2 linked regions of the Oreochromis niloticus genome follow. The main gene of each other region encodes a partner of the protein of the gene in region 2 in a complex. Links are inferred from orthologs where the notes say so. Each region holds a gene or a part of one and is shown on either strand. Other genes may lie near its edges. The genes, in order: zcchc7 and tent4b.

What was found.
Region 1: tent4b (region 2) and zcchc7 share a complex: the UniProt entries of both Homo sapiens proteins name them as parts of the nucleolar TRAMP-like complex. The link is inferred for Oreochromis niloticus from reciprocal best matches to the Homo sapiens genes TENT4B and ZCCHC7.

Annotation. Positions count from the first base shown.
Region 1 is NC_031971.2:22,408,466-22,419,489, forward strand, and holds the start of zcchc7 (zinc finger CCHC domain-containing protein 7), read right to left. Parts: upstream 4,362-11,024; 5' UTR 4,204-4,361; intron 667-4,203; exon of another isoform or gene 602-666; intron 1-601.
Region 2 is NC_031965.2:31,684,467-31,695,040, forward strand, and holds the start of tent4b (terminal nucleotidyltransferase 4B), read right to left. Parts: upstream 4,321-10,574; 5' UTR 3,933-4,320; coding exon 3,397-3,932; intron 1-3,396. Other genes in the region: heatr3 (HEAT repeat-containing protein 3), read right to left, coding at 7,419-7,532, 7,719-7,895, 7,963-8,106, 8,497-8,585, 8,726-8,862, 8,975-9,057, 9,349-9,503, 9,709-9,799. UniProt on the Homo sapiens protein: Terminal nucleotidyltransferase that catalyzes preferentially the transfer of ATP and GTP on RNA 3' poly(A) tail creating a heterogeneous 3' poly(A) tail leading to mRNAs stabilization by protecting mRNAs from active deadenylation.

The sequences.
Region 1 (11,024 bases), on a different chromosome or scaffold from region 2:
TTAAAAAAAAAATCAAAGAGTTTTCTATTATGCAAGTAAAAAACAAAAGAAATTCTTACGCGTGGGAAACTTCACTTTTTTTAACAATTAATTTCTAAACTGCTAACACTGGCTACCATCACCAACATAAACCAGCTTTAGGTAGGCAATCATAACAGCTCACCAACCAGCAGCTCTTTATGCGTGGCTCTTTGCAAAGCATCACTTTGGATTCAGATTCACCTGCTCGGTGATTTATACGGGAACATCACAACCAGAAGGCACAAATAGCAAAATGTGGTTTTACTAGTGTCATAATAGTGTACATTTGTTAATTTTAGAAAAAGATGTGCTCCTCTGCTGCAACCAACCTTTCCCTTAACTGAGCATGTTTTTCAAAAGATTCAAAATTAAATTAAAAAAAAAAATCAAACTTATTAAGTTTTCATTTTGCCTGATATCATCAATACCAATCCAATTCTAGCAATGTTTAGAATTTCTTTTTTTTTTTTTTTTAAATCTGTGCACATGAAATTTTTATATCTCACCCTTCAAATATTTAACACTGATCAACCACGTCAGGTCCACTATACAAGACTAATTAGTAGCCCTACATTATTACCAGAATTGTGCTGTCGTCATTTTCCTCTCTTAAGTTATCTGCCGTGTATCCACAGCACTGTCGAACTGAAGGAGAAACAGGCCAACATCAATTACAGGAAACTTCTGTCTTACTCTGAAAACCATGAGGCCTTGTTAAGAAAGCTGAGTGGACACAGCTCAAGAGCACTCAGACTTTTTTTATTTATTTATTTTTTTAACACGCAGACTTTTTTCCATCGGAGCTGTGTTCATTGGCTCAAGCAAACAGGATCCAACTTTTTTACCTGCCAGGTGACGACTTCAAATAACACTTAACGTGACACCAAAAAAACTGTTGAATTAGCTGGTTACCGCACTGTGTTGTTAATTTTTCCAGTGCTTGTCTGCCTTTTTCTAACACACACACTCACACACATGCAGAAAGTGGACAGAGAAGGGGCACCGGCCCATTGCTCTGTCCAGTCCTGCGTGTCTGTGCCATGATGGCTGGAGATGATTGGCTCCCAGGCCGCACACACACTGCATAAACGCCACGCTACACGGTCACAAGCCGGCCACAAGGGATTAAAGGGACAGAAAATCTTACCGGTTGGTGAGGGGCGACCGTTGTGTTGAAAGTTTCAGCAGCTCACAGGGGCTGGGACCCGACAAATGACGGACTGTGTTTTACAGTAGTGGAATTTAATGTACTGTACTTAAAGGTCGGGTACAGTCATGGTCTGACAACACAGGTGATTCCTCCTAATCTTCTCAATTAAAATGCTACCCGAACAACACCCCTGGACTCTGTTAGCTCCATTGCATCTGTTTTGGTGAAGCAACTCAGCTTCACCAAAACCAAAGAGGGGTTTTCCACAGAAAACTTTTGGACATGCCAGGAAAAAAAAGTGAAGAAAAAAACAACAGGCAAGATGCAAAGGTGTCTAAATTCTATTTAGTTACTTCAGTTTCAATCCTAATCATGATCCTGCTCACAGTCTAAATGTCTGATTTAATATAGATCAGACAGTTAGAATAAAACGCAGTTAGAATAGAATGCAGCAAGCTGTACTCGTCTTCTTAGTGTGGACATTTAGCTAAATCGAAAAATTTAAACAAACTTTAGCATAACTGTTGCACGGATAAGACCTATGAATGCAGCTGAAATGTGTTTTACAAATGCTGCATTAGGACACAATGAATTTAGAGATCAACAAATATCAAGCACTGACGTTTCTATTAGCCAGCTGTGCATATTCACACATGAGTCCCTATGGGTTTACACCGAAACAGGAAATACAAGGTTTAATTTATCTGTAGCTTTGGTTAAAAAAAAAAAAAAAAAAAAGTGAACTGGGAACTCTGAAAATTTACTTCATAGCTGTGAGATTTAACTAATCATAGGAACAGAAAACACCTTCATATTGCTCAATTGTGAATGTGCATGTATCTGAGAAGCTTTAAGTAAAATTCAGGAATGTTAGGTTAACTGGTGATTCTAAATTGTCCAGAGAGGTGACCGTGAGCGTGAATGGTCATTTGTCCCTACAGACATGACAGAAAGGTTTCCAGACAGCTGGGATCCACCTGAGGTGGATGAGCAGTTAAGAAAAGTACATTTTATGTTTCAAGAAAACAAAAAAACAAAAAAAACATTGAATCAACTTCACTGATCTTGTCTTGTATCATTCAGAGCACAATTCTTCAAAGCACATAATCATCTTAATAATTAGGAGGCCATCTTATACTTGCAATACTAAAAGAATGGACAAACTCTATTGAACCAATAATAATCTATTAATGTATTGGTTGGAGGATAATGGCCTATAAGATGCTTGGATTAACTTGATGTAACTAAATGGTCTCCGCATGTAGTTTGCCCAGCTAAGGACTGGTGACTACATTACATATAACACTTTTGCAGTACTTCATGCTATCCAAAAACATATTGGCTGATATACTGACATTGGAATAGATCCATCCATCCTCCTATTTTCTTCAGGGTTGCAAGAGGGCTGGAAACTAACTAAGCTGTCACAGGCTGCGAGGCAGGCATGCCAACTCTACACAGAAAAGCTCCAGACTTCATTCAAACCTACGACCTTCTTGCTGTGAGGCAACAAGTAACACTGCACCACCATACCACCCACTGCAATCTTTAAAAATCAGTATCAATCTGTAAAAATCAGTATCAGCCAGGCATTGAACGAGTTATGTCAAAAGTGATTTCTTATGTTTCTGTGTGTTTTATGTCTGATATCTTTTTCTTACATTGGTACATAAGCTGTCTTCAGAATGATTTTTGAAGGGAGTAATAGATAAAATAAAGACAAGTGTCCTTAAGATTCTGCGTTTTGTACATAGTCTGTGTTCTACATTATAACCAATACCATCCATTTTGGCCACTTATAACTTTATATGGCACTTCTGGCGCAAAATAGGCGCAAAATACCTTGATATCATTCAAGCAAGATATGTCTGACATATTACAGGTCAGCAGTTTGAATACTAGACAATGTTTTGCTAGATATTCACTTTTTAACCAGTGCCATGCAAAAGAGTGATCATCTCCCAAAAAGTGATTTCTAGTGTCTACCAAAAAATGATTGCCCATATTTAACCTGTTGTAAATGACTTATTGGCCTGTAAGTTGTGAAAATTATGTGAAACATATCTTTCATGAATGATAATAAGTAATTTTAAGCCAGAACTTCCCTGCCATAATGTAGAAGATGCAATGAGAATCTGACAAAGCAACTTTTAGATATCATTTATGTATCCCAGTAAACATCACAGTTTTGTAGAACATCACAGTTACAAAAGATATATCTAGTGACCAAAAAGGAGTGGATTGATTTTAATGGAGGTGCAATTACACAGTCATAAAAATACTTTAAAAACAGGTCATTTATTTATTTTATATATAACCCCTCCACGAATCCTGTTGAGTAGAGTTTATTTAACAATTTAAGAAAAAAAAAACAAGTTTAAAACATACACACAAACATCAGAAGTCGCCTTTTGCACAAAACTGGTGCCACTCTGTGTAATGTCGCCTTTTGATTATACATAAATGTTTCTTTATTTTAGTGAATGTGTGATTATGCTAAGGTTGCGATGTGCAGTTTATAACATCCACGCAGTCATTTGACTTGAGTTAGGTTGCCAAAAACAGACTAGAGTGACAGGCTGACATCTCGGACATCCAGCAGCCTGGTTACACTGCAGTGACAAACAGAAACTTCAGTTTTATAACTGTGTACTCTGTGTAGTTAGCCTAATGGTAAGCCCGGCTAGCTCAAAGCTAACGAGCTAGCTTACTGGGGAACATGCTAGCTGTTTATCAGAGTACCGAGGCTTCACTAAACAGTAACACGCCATAAAATACAGGTAGCTGGGAATTTTTCGCTAAGCACGGGCTTTTAAAAGTTATTTTAGCGTACTGGCAGTCCCTGGTTGGCATGTCTCACTCCACTCCATCCACGTGTTTCTAAGCAGCAGAGCAACTGCTCGGATGTAAACAACGGAGCGTTTCAGCCTCAAACACACATGAAAGAACATAAATACAAGGAGCTGAGGCAGCCCTACTCAAGGCCACCACTGTGTGTGCTTAATATATAATGTCAGTGTGTATGAGCTCACCTTTGGAAACAAACTGGAAAAGTACTGCTACCGGAGGCTGGAGCTGCTTTTCCTGCGCCTCCAGCCAGGAGACAGACAAACAACTTCCGGGTTTGTCCGAGGAAAATAAGTTGGCCGACCGTAACATTTCACTTCGAATGCGAAGAAGACGGTTACTGTTATGAGTGTTGAAACAAAGTGCATCTCGGACACTGAAAGGTCATGATTTCCCCAACACAGCTAATTTTTTTACAGGATACCAAGAAGAAGAGCCTTTATTCTATAAATAGTTATTTGAGACCGTATTTCGCTCGTTTTCTCCCCTTTACCTAAAAGAAGTATTTTTGGCGTTTTTTTTCATTACTAACAACTGACAAGCCTGTGTCGTGTCAGTATTGTAGGTAGAACAATTATGGGGGTTTTTAGAGCAAAAAAAGAACGACGAAAAAACGCAACTTACTAAACAAAAAAGAGACAGAGACAAAATAATAAAATACAGCATTTCACAAACACAACATTTACAATTTAAAGCAGCAAATTTTTAAAAACTATATTTCGTAAAATGTTTTTTTTACTAAATTACTATAGTGAATTATAATTAATTATATAGAGACACAGATATGCACTGTTTTTTCAAGTCCTGCTTGTACATTTAGTTTTGGTTTTTCCTTATCTATGTTTTCATTTTATGATTGGGGTGCCTCCAAAATGTTTTCAAAGGGTTGGCCATATGCGGTCCACTAAAAATATTGGGGTGGCACACCAAAAACAGAATTTCCTGTTTTATAATGCTGTATAAGTTACTCAAAAATATTGCAATGAAAAGAGAAGGAAAATAATTATATGCCTGGTTAATTTCCTGCTATTAAAGTTGATATCACCAAAAAAAGGTTTATATGAAAACCAAAGAAGACTTTGAATTCCATAATAATCTGTCTTGAATGATTGATTGACTGGAAGTCCCAACCACCGCTTTAATGATTCTCAAATAAATATTAGATCATGTTAGAGTGTGAACTGTTGTCTTTTTCTGTGTTGGCCCTGAGATCCACCAGTGATGTGTCCAGGGATTGGCTCAAGCGTTTCTGTAACATTATTACATTATTACCAATATAGGACAGTCTTCCCTGCCTTATATATAGTGTGTGTGTGTGTGTGTATGTGTGTGTGTGTGTGTGTGTGTGAGTGTGGGGCTGTGGCCAGTGCCCCTCTGCATCCCCCCCCCGGTGGCACCCTGCTTATGATAGCCTATTCTGATATAAAAGGAGATTATTCTTCTTTGATTTGGATTTCTTTTAGAACAATTCAACTAAAAATTCATTTTCTTATTAAAATTCCAACATTGATTCAATGAAGAAAAGATGAAATGAAAATGTGTTTATCTCAAAAGATCTGAAGGTCATTATCCCTCATATACCCCAAGGTAACAGAAGAAAAAAAGATTGTTGTTGTTGTTTGTAGGTTGTTTGCTTGTGCAGGTAGGCTTCATTAATATTTTCTTTCTTACTTTAACTGATAAGCATCATCATATGAAACCACTGGTTTAAATAGTTTGTTAGTGTGCTGGCAGCCAAGGGAATGGAGATACTCATTTGGTTTAAGTCCAAATGAGGAACCTACCCATTTCCTCTCATTTGCTTCCAGCTTTTTGCTGACAAAGACAAATTGTCCAAAACTGTCAACAAAGTAAGAGATCTGCATCATCAACAGTTAGTATTCAAGTCTTGCGTACTTAAGGTGGATTTTCTTTGTGATTCATGAAAGCGAACCTCCTCTGCTAAACTTTTAATTGTCAAACTTGACACTGAAGTCAGCCAGACTGCTCTACTTCCACAAATATTGTTTCTGCAGACAAAACATCCCTCAGGGCCCTATATGTTTTTTTACTGCATCATTTCTTTGATGTATACATCTACAGTAAGGTCCAAATATCAGCTGTAAATCCTCTGAATATGTAGGTATGTTCACTGGGTGTGAGCATGAATGTGTGAGTGACTAGTATGAACCTTCAGGCCTGTGCCTTTATTACATGTTGATGGGAATGTAAATCTATATGTAAATGTAATTCAACAGACTGGGTATCGCCATCAGTCATATTTATGACACGTAGAATACAGCAAAATTATGCCATCCTGGCTCTTGTGCAAGCTGTGTAACATTAACATCCATCTCCCTCTCCCTCGCCTCCATAGCATGAGAATAATTACGAGCTCTGTATATCCTGCTATAAACGTCGCCATCATAATAATGGTGAGAGAATGGCCTTATGATAGGGAATCAGAGGGTGAATGCCATCTGATTCCTGAGGTTTCTCCATGCGTGTCATCACAGGAAAGGCCATCACAGAGTTGGATTGTTTCCTTCCAAAGGTTAGTCTATACCTCATGTCACAACACTATCACCTTTTCTAGTCCATATATACCTCTGACACACACATACACACACCTGTGCATACACACGGGTGCATACTTAATGTCGTGCATCTGTTTTGTTTTTAGGAGGTGCATATGGGGGGGCGTGGGACCCTCTGCTTCCTCTGCCTCCCTGTATCTCTCTAAATTGGATGCAGGTCCGAGATGCCTGACTGCCCCAGTGAAATTGTGATGTGACCGCCTGATTTTGGGTTCTACGCATTTGGTGGTATTTACTGTTATTATTTTAAATGAAGGTAGAAGAGATCGGCTGAATGGAGGCATCTGGTTCAGCGATTCATCTCCAGGCCAGTGGTGCCCAGACCAGTGGCGTGTTGAAGATGGATGGAGTGTCCGGGAGAGGGATTTAAAGTCCCCTCATTTCCAATCACACATTCCAGAAGGGATGGTTCTGCCTGATGAATGATCTTTATTGAAGAGAAGAAGTTAAAAGAAGCATGTCATTGCTCTCATTTGGTGGTGTTTGTATGTTCCATAGCGGCCCCTTCTTTCCATTTGGCATCGGACGACGTGGAAAAGCTTTCTCCGGAATGTTTTATCAAAACTGGATTCTTGTCAGCCGCTCTGGTGTAAAGGCGATATTCTACAGCTGATAGTCATTTTTGTACTAAAGTGTGTTTCTGACGACAAAAAAAAGCCCCAATTCTGTTCTTTTTGTCTGCAGTTGTGATTTGAAGAACCTGTACAAAATGCAGTGGAACACTTGCTTTCTCTGGCAAAAATCTGACCTCTAGCTTCTGACTGCATTATGAGAAACCATGGAATATGCTTACCCGAGAGTAAGCATACAATTAATAATCAGTTGTGAGGACAATGGTTGGCAACTATTTAAGTCCGAATGAAAAACAAAGAAATGTCACTGGTTTTGAAATATGCATGTCAATTTGTTTGTGATAGATATTGCTGTTGGCCAGAGAGAGCAGAATATTTTAACAAAGCAAAAAACATTTTATTCTCAACAGCAGGTTCGGAATCCCACCAATGGAGTATCTCCAACAGGAACCTGTCTTTTATTAAACCTCACATTTTTTTCTACAAATTCGGTGCACCTCAAGTTAAGAATTTTTGATCAGAACAGGTTCAATAACAACATCAGCATAAGTCTTTAGTGGCTCATTGTCGAGCTGATGTCACTCTCTAATTTTAAAAGCAGGTGAAGGTGAGCTTGACTTAATCCTGGCCTTGTGATAAGTAAAGGTGTCTCAAAATAATATGACCAATTTTAGCCCTACACTCTCCCAGCTTTTTAATTTTGAGAGATATTTTGTGCAAGTCAAACTGTAAAATCAAAAAAACAAAACAAAAACAAGCCCCAAAAAGCTAAACTGGGGTTTAAGAGATTCATCTGGAAGTGCACTCATTCTCTCAAAAAAGAACACGATGGGCATCCATTCCAAATTTAAATGTTCTGCATTTACCTTCTTGCTTCACATTTAATGTTTATAGAGGTTTTCAAAAAAATTCTAAATATAACAGCCAAACAGTTGTGGAGCTGATTTGTATTGAAAAAGGAAACTAATAGCTGGAGATCTAGAAGTAATAGTAAGGTGTTTCAAAAACACGTCCAGCATCTGCTCAGATGTTTACTCCATCCATAACTGGTTGCATCAGCTCGTTTCAGTTCTCTAAAAGAGGTCTGCTTCCCTTTCTACTGTTGGCACATGCTTTCTTGTTACTGTATATATGTAAATTCAACCGTCCGGTCTGTATCGAAGCAGCCGGGCAGAAGGAATTCCCTTAAAAAAAAAAAGGCTCTCCCTGGATCAGCGCTTCTGAACAAAAATGGCTCCCGTGCATCACCCATATGGGGCCCTCAGTGCTGAAGTCATTCACATATTCTGGATATGCAGAATGTATAAGCCCCATCATCACTGGGTTTTTTTTCACTGCATCGCATGCAGTCTATCGTATCTGTCACCTCAGTCAAGGTTTGATCTTTTTGGTCACATTAACGCAGGTGTTACATTCTCATTAATTCTAAGAGACACTGCAGCATCAAATAGCTTTGCGGGATAAGAAACTGGTGGTGTATTAGAGAGATTCAGTAGATTCTGGAGTTAATATGCCAAGTAGAGCATGTACTAATCAGTGGCAAAGCTCACAGGCAGGAAGGAACAAATGATAAAGCACAACCAGAGGGGAATGATAACTCGTCACTGGGGTATTGCTTGTAATTTTGTACCATGTAAGAGAATATTTCTTTGTTTTCTCAGTTCTACTCAAAGTTTAGCAAGCTTGATCTCCAAACCTCTCTTCAGACATGGAATTTGTAACACAGATCAGCCACAAATGACCTCATATTATGCCTGGGCCATATGGATGAAATGACAAACCTGACACTTAAAGTACTTCATGATATGATGCTAAATTCATTTAAAATGAGTTGTTTTACAATACTGAACACAGTGACTGGACACTCTGTTGACACCAGAAAGTACAATGCATCTGATCAGGGCTCACAACTAAACTATCTCTTAATTTAAGAGACAACAAGCCATCAAGATCCAGAGCAATGCCACCGGGATGCTTTAGGGTTTATGTGTTTTAGGTTGCTGCTTAAAATCTAACCTGCATTATTACGATTCTCTGACGATGATCTTTTATCATATTGAATGCATGTCAAGTACAGGTGAAACACACACACGCTTGTGTGCACACCCAGAGGAAACTGTTTTTGTGAAGCTCTGTGATCAACAGTCTGTCCATGCTTTCAATAGGAAAAAAAAAACGAGAGAGCAAGCCTGACAACACCTTCTCAGGCCAGACCAAGTGACTTGTGTCTATGGGGATTAAATTTGTGAACACAAGCTCTACACACACACACAAAGTCCCACATACACACTTCATCACCACACGATGCCACAACACCTCTTTCTCAGCTGCAAGTATAAAACCACATTGACAGGAGCCTTGTCCGCTCTTGTCGAATTGTCACGCTGAAATGTTTACCTTTACATACAAATGGCCTGGTGTCATGTTGTGTCACATAATGTTTCATGGACAAATAATGTGTCCCATTTCTCAATCCGCCCTGCAGCCCTTAAGCCCCCTTTCTAGCCTCTATAGCCACAACAACACCCAGGCACCATGGCCGCAGAAAGGGAACCTTGTGTCGCCACAGTGAAGTGCCACTCTGAATTAAATCCCAGGGATACAGAGGTAAGCTCAATCAGCACTGTGGCTCTGAGTATTTCTAGGAAAACAATGAGCACCAGAGGTAAGTTGTTTTTTTTTTTCAAGACTGTCGGTATTAGGTTTCTCTGATTTACTGTAAAGAAATGTAACATATAAGTGGATCAGAGGGAGTATTTTTTTAAGCCATACCTGATACACTTTAAGTTAGAAACCCTGAGTGAGACTTATTCATATAACATTGCTGAAAAACAAAAGTTACTGAATACTCCAGAATTTAAGGAAGGATTAACAAATATAAAAAGCAGGAAAACCACAATTTTTAATTTTTTTCTTTTTTGTAAAATGAAGAAGTATATAAGATATAAGTAGGCTTTTAAATAGTTCTGTCCCTTTCATTTTTAAATATGAAAAAATACAGTGCTGATTTGAATGTGAGGCTTTGGACTGAAGAATAACATTTAGGTAGCAAACAAAACATCATTATCAGGTAAAGTTAGGTGTGTCTTGTTGAATTTTCTTTTGAAATGTAAATGTAGTTCACTCTAAAGTTAGACAAAATATTTTAATGAACACTTGAGTACATTTTAAGGTACTTCTACTTTCTATTTCTGATGCCTTCCTCTCTGCTACAGTTGATGGGAAATGCAGTAAAGTGTATTGCTTCACCTTTACCTGATATACAAGTTTATTATTATTAAATATAAATTAAACCCAGCATTACAGTGGTTCACATTCGCTCCAGGCATAGCATTAAAAGCTGTGTATAGTTGGATCTCCATTTAAATACAGCATAATCAAATTAAATTGTCATTGTCCAAATGTCCTGCCTTCACTTTTAATAGTTAAAAGTAAATCATGTCGATATCTAATTTGCATAGCCTGCATCTAAGTGAAATTTTGAAGGACCTTTAACACACAACTTGTGAACTTCCACAGATAACACAGATGCATGTGTAATTTTGCACAGACATAATGAAACCCCACAGAACTGCAGGCCTTTGTCTTTTCCGTGTAGTTTACACTAAATTTAACCGGTCTGGTGAAAGCCAAAAGTCCCACAGAGACGAGGAGCATTTCCTCCTGTGTTTACGTGTTTACTTATTGTTCTAATCGTCCCTTTAGTTCTTCTATCTCGCGCTTTAATGCGATTCTTTCCGGTTCCGCTCGGTCAGAGCTCGGGTCACCGATCCAGCTACTCCCCCCTCATATTAATTACATTAATTAGTACGGGGGTGAAAAACAAACAAGTGATGATTAATATCTAAACTGTGGAGA
Region 2 (10,574 bases):
AACCAAAACTGGTGACTGAGCCTATAAATTCAAATTGTTGAAAAAGTTCAAGACAGAGGGTCATTACCTCATCAACTTCAATTGATGTTTTGCAGACTCATGTCCACAGATCACATGGCAATAACTTCTACACCATTTTGTCATAGTGACAATGTAGGATCACGTGAATAAGGCATGTGGTTGCATGTGGTTGCTAAAGGTTGAGTGCAGTTGCTGGGAAAATTATTACTAAAATCCCCACCCATGCACGCCTAAAGACTAGCCAGCTAGCCCCTTGGCAACCACTTGTTGCTAGGGAAAAGTGTATTTCCCACCCAGTTGGTTAAATAACAGCCTTGTGATTGCTTTGGTGACATATTGCTACAGTTGTACTTTGAATGGGAATAACTGATTGTCTAAGAAACACTGTCCAGCTACTCTCCAAGCTGTAGTGAAACTGTGACGCAAACTGAACATGAAGAGGGTTCACCTTCAAAGTAAAAGCTGTGCCTCAGTGGTGTAACCAACATTTTGCAAAATACAGAGCTTTTGCTGTGAAGGCAAGCATTCTCCATTTCCAGTTTACCATCGTACCCTCTCAAGTTTTACTATTTCTGGACTTAGAGTTAGCTCCAAGCAAAAAAATGAATTTACCAAAGAAAAAAAAAAAGAAAAAAAAAAAAAAGAAAGAAATTGGTGAAACCAATTTCACCTAGCGACACACAGGAACTTGCCAATCAGTTGGGGAATACACATTTTTCCCCTAGCAACCAGTGGTTGTATCACATCCAAAATCCCAGCCAAATCGAGAAATGTGCACATGACATAAATAAAATAGGACGAGGTCTTTGAAATCCCAGGCAACTACATCTTTATCACAGTCAAAAACAGTAGAAAATTTTAGTCTTTTTAAGCAAGAACCAATCAGCCACAAGATACTGATCACATGAACAACATGACCATTAATGCTAGCACCCATGACAGCAGTGCTTTTTAAAGCCACTGATTTAAAGTATATTCCATCTGTCTGACTCAAGGTGTTGCATTAGTGTGCTTCCAGGCTACAACTCCCTAGCAACAAAACATGTATAACAAGGGATATTTAACAATGAACCATTCACATATACAGTAGTTCTGCACATGTTCACTTTGAAATACATTTACTGTACTGCCATACATCACATTGGCCCTGTGATTAACTACAGTATGGTTAAACAGAAAGCCTTCCGTGGTGGTTTAAGTTTGATTCTGACTCTGAGGTTCAGGTTTTGGTATTAGCCAAGCTAATCACTAAGGAATGTCCTTAAGCAAACACAGGGCTACAATATTACTATAAATGAGAATCAGCCAAAGACTAAACTCCACACTAGGGTGTTCTGCTTGTCTGCACTTGCCTAACAGAAAGGGGTGGGGAAAGAGACAAACTTCTGCCCTTTAAAAAAAAAAAAAAGAATATTAAAACAGAGCCCCACCCACCAAAATATTTCCCCACAGTGATCACATCTAAAAGAAACAAATGACAAGAATGAAAAGAAAAAGCCAAAAAGTTCATATAGGCCCTCTTCTCTCATTGTATCATGTAGTTCAATACTGTAGACTAATACTAGAAGACTAAATGTAGTAGGAGTAACAATATAAGCCCTGCAATTTAAACGTGCATGCCCTCTACGGAATCAAATCTCATTCTCAGTAAATCAAGTGAGAGTCTCTCAAATGAAGTGATCGTATAGTTTAGTAGCTGCCAGAATCTGCTTTGTGGAAATTATGAACCAAATAACTGCTGAAGTTAGCATTAAACTCCAGTATTTTTTCCTTTGCATATGAATAATTTTGGCACCCAAAGAGTTTTTGACCCCTCTCCAAAGGAAAAGCATTAGGACTATAATAAATATTTCAAATACAACCAGATTTTATGCAGGGTTTGTTTGTAAGCAGGGAAACAGACTGATTGCCATAACAATGCTATAACCATGTTGACCACCCATAAGTGCTGGACAAACACCACTGTCAAAAATTCTTTTAACATGCATTTTCTTTTTCTTTCACAGTGCACTCTGTGTTAAAATACACAGCTGTTATTGGCTAGAAATAACAGGAAAATAATTTAATTCCTTAAAGGGGGCTACAAACATTCCTTAGCTGTCCACAGACTAACAGCACTTATGTTCACACTGCGCAGGCTAATAGAAATCCACAGTGACACTGACTAAAAGGCCAATAACAATCGTAGTATAGCATCCATACAGCAGATCTGATCTACCATCAGCCCAGGTTAGCAAACCTGTTTCGAGCTGATTTGCATTCCTTCACCTTGTATTTGTCAGTGTCATGATGTTATTCTTTACCTTTGCCATTTGTCCTCTGTCATATCTCTCACCCTCTGAGCATTTGTACACCAGCATTGAATGCCATTAACTGTTTGTCCTCTCTTTCTCCTTGTACTGCAGGTGTGTTTGGCTCAAGAGCAGAAGGCTTTTGATCTGCAGTTACTGACCCCCACCAACTTACTGACTTTTTATTGTACTGTTTGTCATTTCTCCATTTTCCTTCTCTTTGCTTCCCTCTCCTTATAATCAGTTGAAGTGGTCTGGTTCTTCCAAAGGTTCATTTCTATTAAAGGAGTTTTTTCCCTCCCCACTTTCGCCTAAAGTTGTTGGTGAACGCAAACATGAACTTTACCCAGCAACAGTAATGAGTACGTATAAGAACAAGACTGGGTACACTCATCACTTAACCCTAAATGATCACTATAACGTTCTAAATACTACAGAGGCTCATATGGTGTTGAATATTTATCCAGAACCACGTAGAATCCAAATAATAATGAGACTGTAACAAGGAACTGATCATCGATATGCAAACCATAGAGCTTAACACCGACTCTCTTAAGTCTCTGCAACTTTGGAGGGATAAAAAGCCATTCTTCCACAATATACTTCCTTATTTTGGTGTTTCGTGATATTGGCAGAGAGCACTATCAAACTTTTTTCTTTTAACTCTGGACTGCAAAGGACATACCATATGATTTTGTCCAAGACATGTGAACTCACACCACTCTCACCACACGAATTCTCACTACAGCACCTTTTCATAACCTTATATAATAGTCTTAAATAAGGTGCCTTTCAACCAAAAGTATTTAATGTTATGCTCAAGTGAGCCTTAATGCAATTACACACATTGCACATGGTTGCCCAACACGATAGGTGGAGCTGACAAAGTGGGTGGGGATGGGATCTTACAGCCTCAATCATCTCAGCATGCAAGTGTTCAAGTTAGGCTTTAAATAAATAAATAAAATACTGCAGGTGAACACCTACTTGGGGTTACACATTCACACCCTCATTAAGGGGTCCAATACAGTAAAATAATTTATAAAGGTTCTCTCTTTTCCATCTTCATTAAACTCTTTCTTACCCTATAATTCCCTCTGAGTAGTTCCTTTCTTTCCATGGCGTGCCCGTGTAACCAACATATTCTTTATTGTCACCGTTCAAGATGACACTGAATCCGAAAGTGCTAGCTTTGTTGTCCCTTTTTCTTTTGGGGGGCTGTCCGTCCGTGACTCCGCTCACAGCGACCCCGCTGCCTTGCTGTTGCTGCCCTCCTCCACCGACACCGCCCGTACCAAAGACTCGGCTGTTGTGGTTGCTGTTAGTTTCAAGTGGTATAAAGTCCCCCTGTACTGTCAATTCTCCATCCCCCATCGGGGCCGACATCCCCTGAGTCTTGGCTTCTCCGATGCCGCTGCTTTTTGTATCGGGTGCCTCGTTTCCTTCCGCGACGACGGCTCCCGACACCCCGTTAACGTTAGCTTTTGGGCTCGATACAGTAGTGTAGCTGTTATTCACGTACAAGTAGCTAATTCTCTGTGTCATCTCCCAAATCTGCATCCACAGGTTGTTAGCGGGTCCACGTTGTTCTGGTTGGAACCAGGCGATCCTCGGATCCATCAAATGACACTGTAGGCAAACCGCCCCCCCGCCACCACCGAGCAATGCTCAGCTCGTGTGCAGCTAGCCAGGTCGCTGGCTAACGTTAGCTAGCCTGCTGTAGCCTCGTTATAGCTGCTGCCCGTTACTTCTAGAATCTACTTTAAAAAAAAAAAAAAGAAAAAAGAAAGAAAAACAACAGGCTCCCTTGTAGTAACGATGAAGACAGTTTTCGACGCAAAAACATCCACAGCGAATAAATCAAGAGCTTAAGTCAAGTATTAAAAACGGTAGCTGAAGCCAAAGTTGTAGCAGAAGACTGGAAAAACGTGCAGGCACCGCTGGTAGAAGTACCTCTCTGACCCTTTCCTCCAGATCGTGGGTCCCTCAATGGCGGCTTGTATATCTGTACTTCGCATGCGCGGAGCGAGTGAAAAGGGGGCGGGCAGTGTTGTTACGCAACAGACGACTATTTTTTTTGTTACATAATAACGTCTGATTCTCCTTATTTGATGATTATAATGGGAGAAAACGTGGGAAACGCGTGATATATAGTGCATAAATAACACGCTCAATTAAGTTAATTTGAAGATAAAAACAAATAATTAAACCAACTTTGGGAGGAGAAACTCGGGACATATTTGATGATTTTAATATTTCCGTCGGGAAAAAACTGAAAAGAAACTAATGTTTAATATAGAATTATTTATCTTGTAAAATGTTAAATTGAGAGGGGAAAAATTTTCAAGAAAAAAAAACAGCCTTCCTACTCCTTATTATTAACTTACATCTTAGCATACGTACGAAACAAAACCTTATTGAGAGCCTTGCTTTTTTAAAATAAATTATGCTGAATGTAACAGACACCCTGGATTTTCTTTGATACTGCCTTTTCTTACCATTAATTGCACATTTTTAAAATAATGCAAAAGAAAATAACCTCTAATTCATTCATCCATTCTGTAGTAAAAACAGACACTTCGAGCAAAGTAGACTTGTACTAATACCAATACACTGTCTAGCATCCCACTTGCTGTATGAAAGCACTTTATTAATTTGGGGTTGCTGATGTCGAAATTCATACTCAATTTGCTCTACAGTCATGTTATTTCACAAGTGGCAATTGTAAATATGATATGAAAAGATGGGGGGGTTTTCTATTTATATGCTCCACTACATCCAAACATTGACGAAACATCAAAGATTTAATGAAAAAGGCATACTTTGTTCATTTTAGGATGACAGTGGGTGACCAAGATAAGCCATAGGCATCTCATTCAGTTTGCTGGGTGTGTGTCAAGAGCATGGATTAAGGGAAAGAGAAAAGACTTGTGTTTTGGTATTCCAGTCTAATCAAGGGAGCCACAAAAACACTTTGATAACTGCCACTTCAGTTTAATCAATATATTTCTAGATACAGTTCCAAAACAAAATAATTTATTGTTTACCTTAACCAGGCATCAGTAATGAGACCTGTACATCCTTCAGATTAAATACCACATTCCATTTTTATTGGCTCAGGTAATGAGAGGGAAGAGTCTGATGGGGTTTTTTTCCTCCAGAGCCACAACATTCTAATGATTTTGAAGATTCTAGTGGCTTATTTGTCACCTGGTCATTTTGTACATATATGTACAAGATTTGAATCTGCTGAAGGAAGCAGCTGGGTTACTTTGGTCTAGGATCAGTGATAGGATCACTTAACTGAGAGGTCAAAAGCCATCTTAAAATGTATCCTGCTGCATAATAGCCATTCTGGTCAATTGGTCATTCTGTGCAATTAAAAGAAGGCTATGCAAATATACAAATTGTGTTGGAGAAGCTGAAATACAATGAGCACAAACAGGCCATAAGTGAAGAAAAATTGATTTGCTTTTTTTGACAAAACTATGAGACTGAATATTTTTATAGGCATTTTTTAACTGAATTGAACAAGGTAATGTTTTTTTCTGGAAATCAGCAGATATTTTATATTTTGAGGCAGGGCAGCAATAATCACCCAGAGTGTTTAAGTACCACTGAACATCCGAAACTTTGAAACAACACTCATGCAGAGTAAATATAGTTCACAACAATACAAACCATGATTTAACAGCTTACAGATGAAGATGCAATATAAACTTCTAACCAGGTAATTAAAAGTCATTATTCACGTTTTTTTTCAGCTAATCTAATAAATGATTCTACAAAATCTCAAATCTTATACAAAGTTCCCATACTTAGTTTTCAAATTCCCAAAAGCAACACACTTTTTCAGCATTTTATTGATCAATTCCAATACTTAAAAATATATGATATGCTGGTCTTTGAATATTTTGCAGTTATGGAGAGAGACAAGGTAGCTGTTGCAACATACTATGAATATTGTTTAAGGTCAGTAAATTGCTCAGTCAGCATCCACCATACTTCCCACCCACGTATGCTCCATGTGGAACAAGGGGGTAGGCTGAATGGTTTGTTGAGTAGGAAAATGATGCGAGTCACATGCTGTGGGGGTTTTGTAGTCATTAGATCTCAAGTCATCTGAACACCTATGAGTGATTTAGGACCAACAAGGCTATGCTCTCAACCACCATCATCAAAACACAACATGAGGGAAAATATTTTGAAAGCATGTTTAGTCCCTTCAGTAGATTTCCAGAGATTTGCAGGCAACATGCCAGTATATATTGAAGCAGTCCAACACCTTATGAAGATAAATTAATTGAGATTGAGATAAATTATCTCAGTGGTTCCACCAGTTTGTATTTGGAAGGTCATGGAAAGATTCCTGAAATGGTTCACATAATGCAAAAGAAGAACACTGAGAAAAAAATCAGGGTTTATTTCAAAAAGGCTATTCCTTCACAGCCTGGTGACATCTTCACACATTAATTTCATTTTTTACTGAAATAAACTGCAAGTTTATGGATATTTTGTTGAAAAAGTCTAAGAAACCACTGCAAGAAAAGCTAACAAGCTTTACGTGAATTTTTGCCAGTCACGTATAATGATATCCACATTATGATCGAAACAGACAATGCTGGGATTTAGACAGTTCAGATCTGTGTATAATGTTACTGAAAGATTAAAAAAAATCTACAAAATTTACCACCAATCTCCTTCTATTACTGAAAAAACGTGTATGCAGACCAGTGTCTTCATTGGAAAAAAACAACAACTTAGAATTTCAAAGTACAATGCATATCCAGATGGATTCAAAGAAGGATGCCCATAAGAAAAGTTGGTGTCAGATCCCACACCTGATCTTTAAAAAAATGTTTCAATCAGACATGAAAACACAAACTCAGTCTCAAAATTGTTTTGAGTTAAATTTAAGTGGGGAAAAAAAACTGCCGACTCCAGCATACAATAACGGTTATTACATTCCCTTCGCTCTGCACACAAACAGTAAACCATCATTTAAAGAATATAAACATAAATACTTGATGGTTTCACAACCATATTCTGTCTCGTTCTATGCTCCTGCTAGCATATTTGTCCAAACCAAACAGGCTTTTATAGTCCTCATTTTTTCAACACCTTCTCCAGATAACCAATAAATCTTCTCAGGTTCACTCTGATGTTATCCAGCACACACAGCTGCTGAGGGCTGTATTTGCCTTTTCCTTCTTTACGAATCTGGTAGTGGAAAAAAAACAAAAAACAAAAGAATTGTTATTCAAAGGAGAATTCGCACAATGTAGTGGCGAGATAAGACAAAAATAAATGTGCTAGGTATATTTCCAGGAAAAAAAAGCATAGCTGAAAAAATATTGAAAAATTATCAAGCACACAGATCACTAAAGATGAATTTATCTTTGGTACCTTGGTCTTGAAGACAGGCTGTAGTGCCTTCAGTGCAGGCAGTAAACTGATGTTTTTTGCAGCCGTCTCTGCCTCCTCTCCATCCGCAAACACATCAAACAAAGCGTCAAGGGCTTCTCCATTTACAACGAGTTCAGGATCCCTTGTGGCAACTTGAAGCAACGCATTTCCGATCATCTGTGGAAGAAGAGGTTCTTTGAGGAAGAACAACTTTTCCAAAAGAATAAACGAGAGAAAGAGATACCTGGAGGGTTTCTGCAGTGCCCTTCTCTTTGGCTAATGTGCTGCCAGTGATGCCAAGAATGGCGACGGCGTTGACCCTCACACTGACAACATCACAGCGGGTGGCCGTTTCGCTCAAGCTCATCAGCTGCTGGGGGGTCATACACTAGCAAAAACAAAAGCCAAACGCATAGATACTGAGCTGTCAGGAAGAAAAACGGTCAACAGAAGCAAGTGTGACGTGGCAGTGGATTTTAAAGTTCAGTTCAAGGCGGAAATTTTATATTCAGGTCGGTTTTTATGCAGTTACAAAAGACAGAACTAACATGTGGAGTATTATTCAACCTGTACACTCCTGTCATGTGTTCTGCAGCCATGACAACAAAGACTATGTAATTAGGCACAGGGAAATGTAGAATCAAGCATTTTTATCATTTACCCTCAGCTAGCGGCTAAAAGTCGGGATATCTCGACCTCGGCTGCACGGACTTTGACCTCTTTTTGTAATCACCAAAACTGATTTAGTTGTTTATTTAAATAGTGGCGTCTTATCTACCTGTGGGATATTTTTGGAGGCAATCATCTGTAAAAGAGATCGCATGGCGCTGATGACAGCCTCTAGAAACTCCTCATCTTTGGGAATCTCTGAAAGAAACAAATGTAGTTTCGATTTGTAGTTTCCATTCTCACAAATGCATACTCCCTTTTTTTTGTTGCATTCTTTAAAATAGAAAAATAACAAATGGTACTATAATACTGCAGAAGAAGTTTTATTAATGTGAGACCTGGGGCACCAAAGACCAGAGAGGAGAGATGCTGTGCTGCTTCCTGCAGGGCTGTCGCACCACCCAAAGACTCTGCATCCATGGTGGAGAGGATACTGTGGAGGCAAGTCAGTGCCCGGGATTGAACACGCTCCATCCTAAAAAGAAGGTGTGACTTTTTATTTAAAAATTTAAAATTTATAAATGAGAAAGAATAAAGATGGTTATACTCAGACAGTGAAGATTAATGGAAGAAGAGAGGAGGATTACTTTTTTATCAGGCCTCTCCAGGAGGGATTTTGATGGCACAAATCCACAGTTTCCTTTTTAGGGAACTCTGTCTTCTTCAGAACCTTAAAACAGGAAAAAACAAAATTATGACAGGCCTTTTACATTTGGGAGTGGCTGCGTAGGTGCATATAAACTGTATGTGAAAGTGAGTTCTCTATGAAACTGCACAAATAACTCAATCCATTCAGCCTCTGGGAGAAGATGGGTGAGGTTCACCACATAATCAATCTAATCTGAAGTTTGTAATTACAGCAATGCAAGCTAAAATGACAGCTTAACAACATTCACAAGCGCGTCAAAGCTTTGGTGATGAACTGGCTAAGGTGTGACTGAAGAAGCAGACTGTCATTTGCCTTTTGTGGTATGCTGTGGTTGATCAAAGCCCCTTGAACTTCAGCTGACAAGCACAATGGAGACATCAGATTGGACACTCCATCACAAAGGCCATCGGGACCCATGTCGCTTTCATCACTGCTTGATTCCTCCTCCCACTCGTCATCAGAAGGGTCTTAACATGTGCACACACAGAGTTAATTAGAGAAATTAACCATGAAGATGTTTTTTCTAGATTCTCAAATGAGACATTTGTGAGCATTTCTCGCTATAATAGCTTATCCGATAGACAAACACATAGTTGGTGACTGTGTCATAGGAAATATATTTGACGAAAAATGCCTGGGGTCAGCATGGCTGTCCGTGGCCACACCACTCACCGTCAGAGCAGCACATGTTGACGATGATCTCCAAGGACGTTTGCTGGGCTGTCAGCAAGGCCGTTGCCTCCCTCAGCTCCTCCTTCCCCCTCTGGACAAAAACAATCAGCCATGTGACTCAACATCCTACTAAAACAATGCCTTTTAGCACTCTTATCACCCAGTCTGGGTTCAGCCGCCTGCCACAAAGAAAAATAATCCTACAGATGCATTCCACTATGTCCAGCTGCACGTTTCTTGCGGTGCAGTGAGCATTAAAACCCAGTTCAAGGGTGTTGCTCCTGAAGGAATAAGTGTAAAACTGTGTTTGTCTGATAAATAAATGGTTTACCACAGATGAATCTTTATACTGGTACACTAGAACAACCCTAACAACACGCAATATTAGAGGGTATTCTGGTACGTCACCATGAATGTCACCCACAATCCTAGGGCCTCGGCTCTGACTGAGCTTAGAGGGACAGCTCTGTCTCGCCGGAGTCAGGTCTGGGGACTGTCAACTTGGTGGAAGCCACAAGTTGGTCCTCAGCTGAACCTTGTTGGGTGTCCCTAATCCGCTCCCCCCTAAACCCGACAGTTTGTCTGCCCTGTCGCTCTGGCTCACATTTCAGCATGACTCACACACCACCTTTTCACCAGGCATTAATGTGCACCTCAAAAACAAAACAAAGAAACCCCAACAACAAAAAACTCGAAACCAAATTGAGATTAACCCTTTAAAACACCTGAGATATGCCCCTAAACTTTGACTTATGAGTCATTAGAACCCCAACCCGAATCACTTAAAATTGGTCTAAAAAAGCCAAACAAAAGTAAGTCAGTTTTCTTCCAGTTAAAAGTGCATAATAAGAGCCATAAATTCTTCT